3 linked regions of the Oryctolagus cuniculus genome follow. The protein of the gene in region 1 purifies or fractionates together with the protein of each later gene. This does not show direct contact. Links are inferred from orthologs where the notes say so. Each region holds a gene or a part of one and is shown on either strand. Other genes may lie near its edges.

Evidence for each region.
Region 2: the proteins of PLCG1 (region 1) and RASA1 purify together in Homo sapiens (affinity purification with western blotting; 3 studies listed by BioGRID and IntAct, with this or other methods). This does not show direct contact. The link is inferred for Oryctolagus cuniculus from reciprocal best matches to the Homo sapiens genes PLCG1 and RASA1.
Region 3: the proteins of PLCG1 (region 1) and ALK purify together in Homo sapiens (affinity purification with western blotting; 3 studies listed by BioGRID, with this or other methods). This does not show direct contact. The link is inferred for Oryctolagus cuniculus from reciprocal best matches to the Homo sapiens genes PLCG1 and ALK.

What each region holds. Positions count from the first base shown.
Region 1 is NC_091442.1:17,799,349-17,803,575, forward strand, and holds the start of PLCG1 (1-phosphatidylinositol 4,5-bisphosphate phosphodiesterase gamma-1), read right to left. Parts: upstream 2,942-4,227; 5' UTR 2,926-2,941; intron 2,179-2,925; exon of another isoform or gene 2,053-2,178; intron 2,009-2,052; exon of another isoform or gene 1,994-2,008; intron 1,581-1,993; 5' UTR 1,472-1,580; coding exon 1,255-1,471; intron 1-1,254. UniProt on the Homo sapiens protein: Mediates the production of the second messenger molecules diacylglycerol (DAG) and inositol 1,4,5-trisphosphate (IP3). Plays an important role in the regulation of intracellular signaling cascades.
Region 2 is NC_091445.1:10,286,998-10,290,641, forward strand, and holds part of RASA1 (ras GTPase-activating protein 1), read left to right. Parts: intron 1-1,325; coding exon 1,326-1,393; intron 1,394-2,366; coding exon 2,367-2,455; intron 2,456-3,644. UniProt on the Homo sapiens protein: Inhibitory regulator of the Ras-cyclic AMP pathway. Stimulates the GTPase of normal but not oncogenic Ras p21; this stimulation may be further increased in the presence of NCK1.
Region 3 is NC_091433.1:173,776,471-173,780,114, forward strand, and holds part of ALK (ALK tyrosine kinase receptor), read left to right. Parts: intron 1-1,314; coding exon 1,315-1,497; intron 1,498-2,714; coding exon 2,715-2,813; intron 2,814-3,303; coding exon 3,304-3,456; intron 3,457-3,644. UniProt on the Homo sapiens protein: Neuronal receptor tyrosine kinase that is essentially and transiently expressed in specific regions of the central and peripheral nervous systems and plays an important role in the genesis and differentiation of the nervous system.

The sequences.
Region 1 (4,227 bases):
GATCTGAAGTTTGTAGTTGAGGACGGCTGCTACCACAACACCTTCCTTCCTCCCAATCTCCTCACTCATCTACACGCATGCACACCAGACCCAAGAACCTCGGTGGGAGCCTCTCCAGGGCTGTCGCTTCCTGACCCCTTTCTCCACATGCCCCTGGTTCTAGTACCCATCTCTGGGGGGTCCTTGGAGGAAACAACCCACAGCCTGGGGTTACAGAAACATCATCTGTTCACACAGGAAGGCGAGAGAGAAAGGAGGGCAGAGCTGAGTGCCCATCCGGCCACAGCTCAGGCATGCAGTGAGTGCAGTAACACACTGAAAGATCTGGGGTTTTTTCAAAATCCCCTAACCCCCTCCTCCCACTAGAGACCTGCGCAAAAGCAGCCAAGCTCAGGCCTGGCAAGGCACAGAGGCAGGAAACCAAGGGGGGAGCCACTGTCGGCTCCCTGTGGCCACCGGACACAGGACACAAAGGGCTAGACCCCAAACAGGCTACCCGCTCTGAGACAGGAGTACCTGACGCCAAGGCACTTGGACTGGCCTGTCTGGGGCCAAGCTTCAGGTGGGTGCTTCCAAGTGCAAGGGCACAGCCCCTTTACCCAAGAGCCTGCCCCGGCTTTGGGCACCGGCATAGGCCTCCAAAAACTCAGCTTTGGGACAAAAGCAGCAGCAAGTAAAAGCGGCCTTTCTCAGGCTTCGCCAAGACAGAAAGGACCACCTTCTTCTCCCTCCCCAAGCAGATGAGCAGGCCTAGCCCTGTTTCAAAACCAGCCCTACCTCAACATCTGCCTAATTTTTACCCAGGGAACCCAAAGGTTCCCTTGCAATGAAGAGCCCAGCCTTGGGACCCAGGGAATCTCGCACCGCTCTTTCTGCAGAGGGGGAGGGCAGTGACCCTCGGGCCCCGATCGCGGGCAGGGTGGGCGCAGCTTGGCTCCCCTCGCCCGCCACCGCCGCTCCTTCCCGGGACTGGAGGGGCTCGACGCCTGCCCCGCTGGACTCCAGTCCGCCAGGATTTTTTAGGCCTCAGGGAAAGACGTCTGGAGGAGTCCCCCCAGCCGGGGGAGGGGGCGTCCTATCAGGTGACCGAGGATTTGGATGATCCCCGCCCCCCAGTGAGCACCGGAGCCGAGGCGGGGGCGGGTCCAGTGGGGGTGGGGAGAGCCCAAAGTTTGCCCAAGTCGCCAGGGAGGGCCGCGGCCGCGCGCGCCTCGCCAGCCCCGCGCGCGCAGCGGGCCCGGGGGCGGCACTTACTGGCCCCCTCGATCTTGTCGGCGCCGCGGCTCCACGTGATCTGGCGCGTCTCCAGTTTGACCTGGAAGGTCTTCCGCTCGGGCCGCTGCGACTTCTTGGAGTAGAACAAAGTCATGACGGTGCCCACCTCGAGGCTGCGGCAGAGGTGCAGCACCTCGGCTTCCGAGGGCGCGCCGGGAGCGCAGCCATTGGCGCAAGGGGACGCGGCGCCCGCCATGGCTCCGACGCTGGGGGCGGCGGCGGCGGCACAAGCCGGAGGAGCCGGGAGCAGGAGGAGGAGGAGGCGGCAGCTGAGGCGGCCGGCGACCGGGACCCGGCGGCGGCTCCTGCGGGCGGACACGGGGCGGAGCCTAAACACCGAAGGCGGGGCGGCCCGAGGATCCGCCCCGCCCGCGCGCCAGGAACAAAGGCGCCCGCGCGCCCGTGGGGAGGACCCCCGCCCCCGGCCCACCGCGCCTGCGCCCCGCGACCCCCGGCCAGGCCGCAAGCGGGGGCGCGGGGCGCCATGGTACGCCCCGCTCTCAAGCAATCCGTCCGTCGCTCGGCCCCGCAGAGCTTCCTCACGCGACCCCGGCAGGGCGCGGGGCCTCCACCGGCCCCGTCACGCACGGCAGCCCCGCCCACAGGCTGCAGGCCCGCGACCGACCGGCCCGTCAGTCAGGCGCTCGTGCACGCGAAGCCACCCGCCCACTGTCCCGCACAGGCCCGACCGCAGCCTCCGCGCCGCCCGCACAGCCACCTGGAGAAGATGTGAGGGTGCGACGCGCCCCTCGGGTCCGCCTGGCCAAACCCAATTACCTGGGCGAATTGCCCGGCGGAGGGAACCGGGCCAGGCCGGGCCGCCTCACACCCGCGGCGGCGGCGGCGGCGGCGGCGGCGGCGGAGGCGGGTTCTCCGCGCGCCCTCTTCGGGGAGGAGTGGGGGCGGGGCATCCCGAGGATTGGTCAGCGGGCTCTGATGGACAGCGTTCTGTCCCGCCCCCTCCCCCTGCCCGCGCAGAGCTGGCCCACAGGCCGCCCTTGCGAAGGCGAACCCCACGTCCGTCCTGCCCTTGCGTAGGTGCCCTTCCTCGGAGAAGCGCTTCGGGCGTGAGCATCCCCCGCAGGGCTCGTTAAACCCGCGCCCGCGCTGTCTGGAGACCTGACCTGTAGCCCCCAGCGGCCCTGTCTCTCTCCCTCTCTTGGCGTTGCCCGTTGCTCCTCGCCCTCGTTCCCCACGAGGCAGGACGCAGGTCGGATCCGTGAGGCGGGCTCAGGCCCTGCCTCACACCCCTCCTGCAGGTGCGCTCCTGAACTTTGGTTTTCCTGACCTCGCTCTGGACTCTGTCCTGGGCCAGTACCCATAGCGACCTGACTTCACGCAGTGCGCCGGTACCAGTGCCTCCACCTCCACGTCCCACTGTCCGCACCACGTTGCTACCTAATGCGGCTGCCTCACCCACACTCCCACACGGCTCCCCAGCCTTCGCTTTCTCAGAACATGGCACCAAACTCCTCTCGATTGCATAAGCCAAAAACCTGGCCAGTAACCTCGATTCCTCTGTCTGCCCCAGGTCAGATCCACCGAGGCCTGTTCACTTTGCCTGCAAGCCCACCAGGCCGTGGCCTCTCTCACCTGCGTCTGTTCTCCATGTTTAAATCTTTTAAAAGAAATAAAACCATGATCACCTACCTCTGGTCTACTATTCTCCCGCCCTGAGTGGCACACAGCAGGTTCTGATGGGCCTGGCCCCTTCCTATCTCCTGGCTTCTTCACTCTCTCTCCTCCCGTCAGCAGGCTTCTGTCTGGAATCATTCACCCTCTTCGTCTTCCTGAATGCTGTGAAAACTGAGGACATCTGCGGTCATGGGGAGGCATGCCTGACACGTGTTGCGCCAGGTGCTGCATTTCAGAGAGGCGCGGCCCAGCAGAGCTTTCCGGAGAAAGATCCAGGTGAGTTGGGATTTGTGAGGACAGGAGAGCATGTGTTCAGGCAACCGCACCCAGTACTAGGTGTGTGGAGCTGCCTCTGACTATCTCGCGGTGGTAGTAACTTGCGTGTGTGTGCATGCTCCTGCACTTTTGGTTCCTTCAAGTGTGGCCCCTAAGGCTCACAGCACTAGGCTCCTGTCAACTAAGGGCCAGCGGGGGAGCTGAGATGGACTGCCACCTAGTGACAAGCCTTTGAAGTGGGAGGCAGGCTGATCCTGATCACACGTGGTCCTCATAATCACCCTCTAATCAGGGACACTGGTCCCCAGTTTACTGATGAGGACGTTCAGAGAAGTTCTACATGACTTACCGAGCGGCCACGTCACTCACAACTGGGGACTTGAACCTATCCACCTCTGTTTTCTGCCTCACAAGAGGGCCTCTGGCTTAGGTAAGTCCTGGTGGTGAGCAGTCAGTGGGCATGAGGCTAGATGGCTACTGGCACAGGGAACCTGGCAGAACATTAGTGGTCAGAGCGTGGCTTGTACTCAAAGTGCCGCTGTCGCTGAGCTGCGAAGCGTGAGGAGAACAGGAGATCCAGCCCAGCCCCTCGGGGGATTAACAGACCTTAAACAAATAAGCACTCTGTTCTGTAAAGACACTTGTGATGAGGGCTCCAGAGGAAAAGAACAGATGAAAGAAAACACAGTGAGGTTGCCAGTGCGGCAGCTCACTAGGCTAATCCTCCGCCTGCGGCGCTGGCACACCGGGTTCTAGTCCCGGTCGGGGCGCCAGATTCTGTCCCGGTTGCTCCTCTTCCAGTCCAGCTCTCTGCTGTGTCCCGGGAAGGCAGTGGAGGGTGGCCCAGGTGCTTGGGCTCTGCACCCGCATGGGAGACCAGGAGGAAGCACCTGGCTCCTGAATCGGCGCAGCATGCCAGCCATAGCAGCCATTTGGGGGGGTGAACCAACAGAAGGAAGACCTTTCTCTCTGTCTCTCTCTCTCTTACTAACTCTGCCTGTTTAAAAAAAAAGAAGAAGAAGAAAAGAAAACACAGTGAGG
Region 2 (3,644 bases), on another chromosome or scaffold:
CTCAGAAATACTCAGCTGCCTTTTTCAAAGTTATTAGGAGACATTTAGCTACTTTTACATTTTATACAGACCTGAATGCTTGTCAGTTAAGTCTTACTGAATGAGGTTAAAAGCTAAATACAAAATCTGTAGCTTACTTCATGTAGTACCCTCTGTATACGCAGTATGCGTGACTGATTTCATAGTAAAAAGGAAGAACACTGAGTCACTTAGACATTAATTTGCTTGAAACACGACCTGTAACTGGTTAGTCTCCCGTCAGAGCCTCTAGTTCTGAAACTGTGCTTCAGTATGTTCACTGTGCAATTATTACGAACTGCTTTGGCAACTCATGGAATTTATAAAAAGACTTGATTATTATTCTTTTTCTTACTCTTCCAATAAGGAAGCAGACCTGGAGAGGGTAAATAATTTGTCTAAGATTATGTATAGGGAAAGTCAGTGGCGGAAGCAGAGCTAAAGGAGACCTTCTGAAACTCAATCCAATATCCATAACATTGTTGCAGGCTTTTGTTAAGCATACCCTAACCAGTTGAAGATAACTGGAAGCATAGTGCAAAAGTCTCAGAGAATGTAACTGTTTTCTAATGATTTATTATATGGAATATATACTGCCAGTCATGTTATCTGAGAAAACCTAGAGGAAACCACTAAAGATGCCAGTATGTACCATGAGTTTTGAAAATGTGTGTTAATCTTGCCTCCAACCTATATTCTGTCAAGGGGCTTCTAATCCTAGCAGGTAAAAATCTCCTGGTTAATTATGATATAAATATTTAAGAAGTGTAGATTTGGTTTTTCTTGGCTTTCATGATGATGGGGGGAACAGAAAACAATTATAAGCATAGTGTTTCAGCACAGTTAAGAGGTTTGCAGAATAACATACTTAAGTATCAAAATGCTTAAAGAATTATGTGATTGCCATGAATATAAATGCTGTTTGAAAAGTAACATACTCAGGTTTTTATGATATTAAAATATGTGCCACTTGGCTAACTAACTTTTTATTAGCAAATGCAGAGAATTTGGGCTATCGAATCAGAGAAGAAAGACTAACAATTATGTTAGACTCTAGAAGGAATTTTATTAAGTATGGTGGAATAATACTTCAGATGTAGTAAATCAAAGGTTGATTTTTGGAATGTTACTCAAGTTACATGCCTATAAAAGGTACTCCTGTAGTATTCCAGAAATGTTTGATTCCTAAGGATGCCGCTTCCCTAAGTATAGAATGTAATAGTAGCCTAAAATAACTGAGTATTAAATTCCCTTTTCATATAATATCTGTAGTTCTCTAAAACTTTTTTTTTTTACCTGGTATTCAGTGGTTTTGTATTCCTGCGGCTTATCTGTCCTGCGATTCTGAATCCTCGGATGTTTAATATCATCTCAGGTAATCTTTACAAGTTTTGATTAAAAGAAGCAATTTCATGTTATTTAAGATGAATAATCACTTTTTAAATGTATTGCAAATGATCAAATTCTAAGACTTGGTTTAAAACATTCTAAAGTACTCTTCCCTTTTCTTCCTCCTTCATTATTAGCTTTTGTGTAGTCTGAAACCTGACCTGGCAAGATTCAATGCATTCCATTTTTTATCTACCTCTTTGTATCCAAAAATCTTAGGATGATATTTTAAGAGTTTGTAACTTGGCTTTTCAAGGTGGCAAACTCTCTGTAATTAGCCCATGCAAAACTACTCAAGCTGGAGCTACTTGAAGATCAAAATAAAATTCCATGTACAGGTGCAGGAGTGTTGTGTGTGTATCTATAGACAATGTGATGTTCATTGGCCATTTTAAACTCCAGTAAACGTGATGTGGTATGTTTGTGACATTGAATACAATGATGAGTTACCATTAATATCTTTTATTGCTACTTAACGGGCTCAAGCATTTCATCAGCTAAGAATTAAAGATCATTTGGAGAGATGTACCTGAATGTTGGACTCTGAACCACTATTCCATAGTATTTAGTTTAGTGCCTTAAGACAGTATAATCCAAAATCAGGCAGCCAGGTCATTTCTAAACTTCAGAGTCTGTATTTAATAGCCACAATACTTTGCATTTCTATCCTATCTACATTATGTAAATGTTTATTAAATTGCATGTTTTTCTCCTCCACATAAAGGTGTCAAAAATCTCTTTGTTCTTAAGCTTTGATACCACCACCTAGTTTTTAGAGGACCCTTTTCATAAAGCTAAAGTACTAATAAATATATTGAGGTTTTCATGTGTAGCTCTGCTTTTTCTCAAAAACTTAAGAGTTACTGAATTACTAACAGCAGTAACCGGTAAATACATAATGGTTTATTTGCAAGTGCCTTTGCAGTCTGTGTCAGTAGCTGTGGCCAATTCTCCTACAGATTCACCATCTCCTATTGCTGCAAGAACACTGATATTAGTGGCCAAGTCTGTGCAGAATTTAGCAAATCTTGTGGAATTTGGAGCTAAGGTAAAAACATCTTGATACTTTATGAATCAAACTGTGATACAGAAATATAGCTTAAATAATTTTACAAAACAGTGTATACCTTATAAAGATTCTGTTTCACTTGCTATGTTTTAATATTTGGACTTTCTATTTTTAACAAATGAACTTAAAAGCTTTCATTTTTAGCCAACAGAGAAGATTATATTCTCCCTTTTAAATATAAAGACCAATGAGCAAGATTTAAAATGTAACTTTATTTCACTGTAAACATTAAAAGAAAAATGTATTCGGGAGCAGTCACTGTTACTAAGTGATCACATTATCAAGCATAATGCGGTAGACACCTTAGTTCATCCTTCTAGCAAGCCTAGTACTGGCAACAGAGCAGACCAAATCATCTCCACCTTCTGCTAAATGGGTGGGGTCTTTGTCTTCACCCCACCTTATGAGGAAGATAACCTGAAGGGCTACAGGAAGCCAGTTGCTTCCTGAAAGTTCTTTCCAACAGTGTATCTCCTGATCAAATCCTCCATGAAGATGCCGAGTATCACCTGTGAAGGCAGTCCACTTCTTGCTGATTTTGCCACACCCACACTTGCAAATCAGTTCATTGACCTTAAAAGATACAGGTATCACCATGCACTATATGGTTCCATCTCCTCAGCCTGTGTGAAAGGGGTTCTAAAATACCCACATGTGATCACATTTCAGATTGAACAATTGTTGCTTGTATGGTTGAGATCATACTGTCACCCCTTACCATATTTCGTAGGTTTGGAGCAAAATTTAAGCTTTTGCAATGTATTTGCTCCCTACAGCCTTATCAAAACTCAGTGGGTATTCTTTCTTATTTTTGGAATTGCCTATTGAGGCCCTTATGTCATGGACTTTTAAGAGTTGCATTAGTATTCCTATTTTATAGCGCATTTCTTTCAGTAGGCTTAGGATTTTGAGTATAATGAGCAGCTTACTAGTATGATTTGGCTTTAGAATTTATCTGAATCTTGTGGCAGGTTATGAATAATGTGTTTTCATTTTGAGGTTTTATCACACTATATTTTCATTCCTTATAACCTTTGCTGTATTCTAACCTGTGGCTTGGGCCCGTTTGTTTTGGTGCTGGGCAAGTAATAGCTTTTCCATTATTTTTGAATGAATGTATGTGTAAGCAGTTTGTGTCTGCCAGACTCTGTTGTGATGTGTGTTTTGA
Region 3 (3,644 bases), on another chromosome or scaffold:
GAGAGGTGTCCTCCTGCAGTGACATCAACAGCCTTCACAGACCCCGCCCTGTGGAACCCACATCTGTCACCCAGCCCTGAGTTGACCGAGTCCCTCCACCTGCCTGCAGGCCCAGCTCCGCCTGTCCCTGTCGTACGACCGAGCTTGATCCTGATCTCAGCTTGGATTTGAACCCTAGCAGAGTAGCCACCTCCACCAGAGCTCCCACCACCTCCGTGTCCCTCTGCTAACCCCCTCTGGGTTGGGGGAAACTCAGCAGCTGAAGATTCTTCCCGGACCCAGTTAACTCAGGTCCAGCCGTCCCGCACACTACTGTTTCGGTTCCTTCTGCGTCGGCCTCCAGGGCCCCCCACCACTGTCATCTGCTGAAGCAGGAAGGCCTCCCAGGAGGGTGTTGGGGGTGGATGCTTGTTGCAAGGTCATAGGGAACAATGTTGGAGTGGTGGATAATCCTGGATTCTCAAGGGCCAGCGGGGGCAGAGCGGCAGGGGGAGAATCCCTGGGGTCCTCCCATGGCCACATCCAACCTCAGCTCGGCAGACATCTGCTCTGCAAGAGTTCAGAGCACCTCACACGTGGGGAAGCCCCTCCCCAGTGGCTGCCATGGTTGCCCCGATGTCCCCCACCCCTGCCTCTCCTCCACTCCTGACCTCTGAGCAGCCCAGAGCAGCACAAGCCGAGTGTGAGGCCCTCCACGTGCCTGCGTCCTGCCTGACCAGCTCCCGTGATCCTCACACGTGGCTGGGTGTAAGGATTTCACACACTCACCGTCTCCTTTGACCCTAACGTCAACCCCAAGGATGGGTCTTCATTATCCCAAGGAGACAGATGAAGAAGCTGAGGCTCCACCCGTGGTTTCCAGTCACTGACAGTAATGCCCTCTGGGCTTGAGTGCAGAGGCCGCCCCAAGATTGGCGGCTCCAGTTCTTGCCGGGACAGGAAGAGGTTTGAGGAAACAATGAGAATGGAGGCCCAGTGCTTTCAGGGGCTGGCAGGCACGAGGAGAAGCAGAGGAGCCGGCTCGGCGTCCTGCTGCCCCGCCCCCTGTCCCATCCTGCTTCTGTGCCAGGGAGCAGACAGGCAGCAGAGGCACAAGGCACGCTGTCCTCCCTGGGGCCAATGGCACACCCCCTGGCTATCCAGATGCGGGCTCCAAAGCCCCTGGGCCCCCCCCCGCTGGAGAGAGTCCTGGGCACTGGCATGGGTGGGGGCTCCCCTCAAAGTGCGCCTGTCCCACTGCCTTCCCCAGGGCGGGCTGAGCCGAGCCACCAATGACCTCACGACCTCATGGTGTCCTCTGGTCTCTCCCCGCAGGCGGCGGAGGTGGCTGGAATGATAACACTTCCTTGCTCTGGGCTGGAAAGTCTTTGCTGGAGGGAGCCACCGGAGGACATTCCTGCCCCCAGGCCATGAAGAAGTGGGGGTGGGAGACAAGAGGGGGTTTCGGAGGGGGTGGAGGGGGGTGCTCCTCCGGTGGAGGAGGCGGAGGATACATAGGTAAAGATGATTCGTGTTCAAGGTGTCACTCCCTCCCCCTCTTAGTCCTAGGCACCTCACCTCCCTGTCTGCTCCCGCCCTTCCCCCCCTCCCCGGCCGCCCCAGTGGGTGTGGGCCATGATGTCACTGCACGCCACCCCCAGCCAGAGGCAGCGTGTTGGCTTCCAAGCGAGCACCCTGCCTCCAGGCTGCCCTAGAGTCAGCATCAAGATCCCTCAGGATCCTTGATCTCCCCCAAAGCCAACCATCAAGGGGCTTTGGCTTCCCGGGTGCTTCTCGGAGCCACCTGTAAGGACTCGCTGGCCTGAGCACCTCAGAGCCCGGATGGCCCATCCCCAGGCCTCCCTCTGGATGGCTGGGCCGTGCCAGCTCCTTCAGGGACCAGCTGCGGTGGCCCAGACCCCTCCTTCTCCCTCCCCCGCTCCAGCCACCAGCTGCCAGGAAGGCGCAGCTCGCTTGCTCACCAAAGGGAGCTACTCTGAGGGCCACTGCGGGCAGCCGCAGCCCAGCCCCCAGCAAGCAGCCGGCCACTGGCCCAGCTGTGTCCTAGCGCCTTCCAGAGCTGAGAGGCTGGGAGGCCGAGTCCCGCCCCCCAGACTAGGACACAATGCATGCCCGCACTGTGACGTTCGTGTCTGTGTTTGGCTTTGATGCTGTCTTACCCACATGCTGTTCCTCTCCAAGCCCCAGAGGGAGGGCGGGAGGGAGTCCCTGGGGGGGAGTCCCAAGATCACCCAACCCCAGATGAATGGAGGGACGGGAGCCTCCAGGCACAGAGCTCATGGCCCCACGGCCAAACCCTGACCCCCTGAGACTGGAGAGCAGCCCCTTAGCTATTCTCTCCTGCCCCTGCCTGAAGTGGGTGCCGAGGGTGCATCCCCACCTGGGCACTCGAGAACTTTCCAGACTGCTAGTCACACTGACTCCTTCCTAGGGGGACTCCAGCAGAGTGGTGGAGACCCTCCCACCCCCGTTGGAGCAGGCCACAGCCTGGAGGGAAACATGGTCCATGCCTCTCCAAGCCTCTCCCAGCCGCTCCCAGCCCTCGTCCCAAGGCAGCATCTGTGCCCTGAGCCTCCCTTCCCTCCCACCTCGCCTGCCCCTGAGCCCCCAGGGACCCCTGGCCTGGGCAAAGCTGCACGCCCCGCTTCTGCGCATGTGTGTGGAGGTTGTGACGCCCACCCCTTTGTGTTAAACTCTGCCCTGGTTTGCCACAGGCGGCAACGCAGCCTCAAACAATGACCCTGAGATGGATGGGGAAGATGGGATTTCATTTATCAGTCCACTGGGCATCCTGTACACCCCAGCTTTGAAAGGTACCCCTCTGTGTGGGTCCCCCAGCAAGGTGACACCCCAGGGTCCCTCTGAGCCCAGGATACAAAGGACAACAAGGGGTCTCTCACAGACAAGACTTCCTGCCCCGGGCTTCTGGGGGTCAGATTGTGTGGTTTAATGCAGACAGGGAGGCAGAATACTGTCCCCTAGACACTCCCAGAAAATGCAGCGGGGACAGCCCATGTCCCTGTCCCAGCCCACCTCAGAGGCACGCATGAGGACTCTCCCATGTCACATAAAACTGCTCGTGTCCCTGGACACCCACCTGCCCTCTGTCCAAGCGCCACACTCCAGATGCACTGGAAGACTGCCCCAGACAGAGCGGTGCTCCCAGTGGCAGTGGGACTGGGACTGGGAACCAAAGAATCACCCCCCCCCCCGAGACCCCTAGAGACAGAGCCCAGGGCTGGGCATGGGTGCAAGGTGCACTCCCCAGGTTCAGCCAAGACTGACCCTGCCTCCTTGTCACAGTGATGGAGGGCCATGGGGAAGTGAATATTAAACATTACCTAAACTGCAGTCACTGTGAGGTAGACGAATGTCACATGGACCCGGAGACCCACAAGGTCATCTGCTTCTGTGACCACGGAACGGTGCTGGCCCAGGACGGCGTCTCCTGTGTTGGTAAGAGGGTGGGGCCAGGGGAGGGGAGGGCCCAGAGCTGAGCTTTGCACACTGCTCCAGTTGGTTCTAGGACTCGGTTTTGTGAGCATCCTGTCCCTGCCTGGCCTGTGCAGCGTGGTGTTCTGAGGACGGGGGCAGGAGGGGCTGAACAGGAAATGTGTTGAAGACATGGAAACGTCATCTGGCCC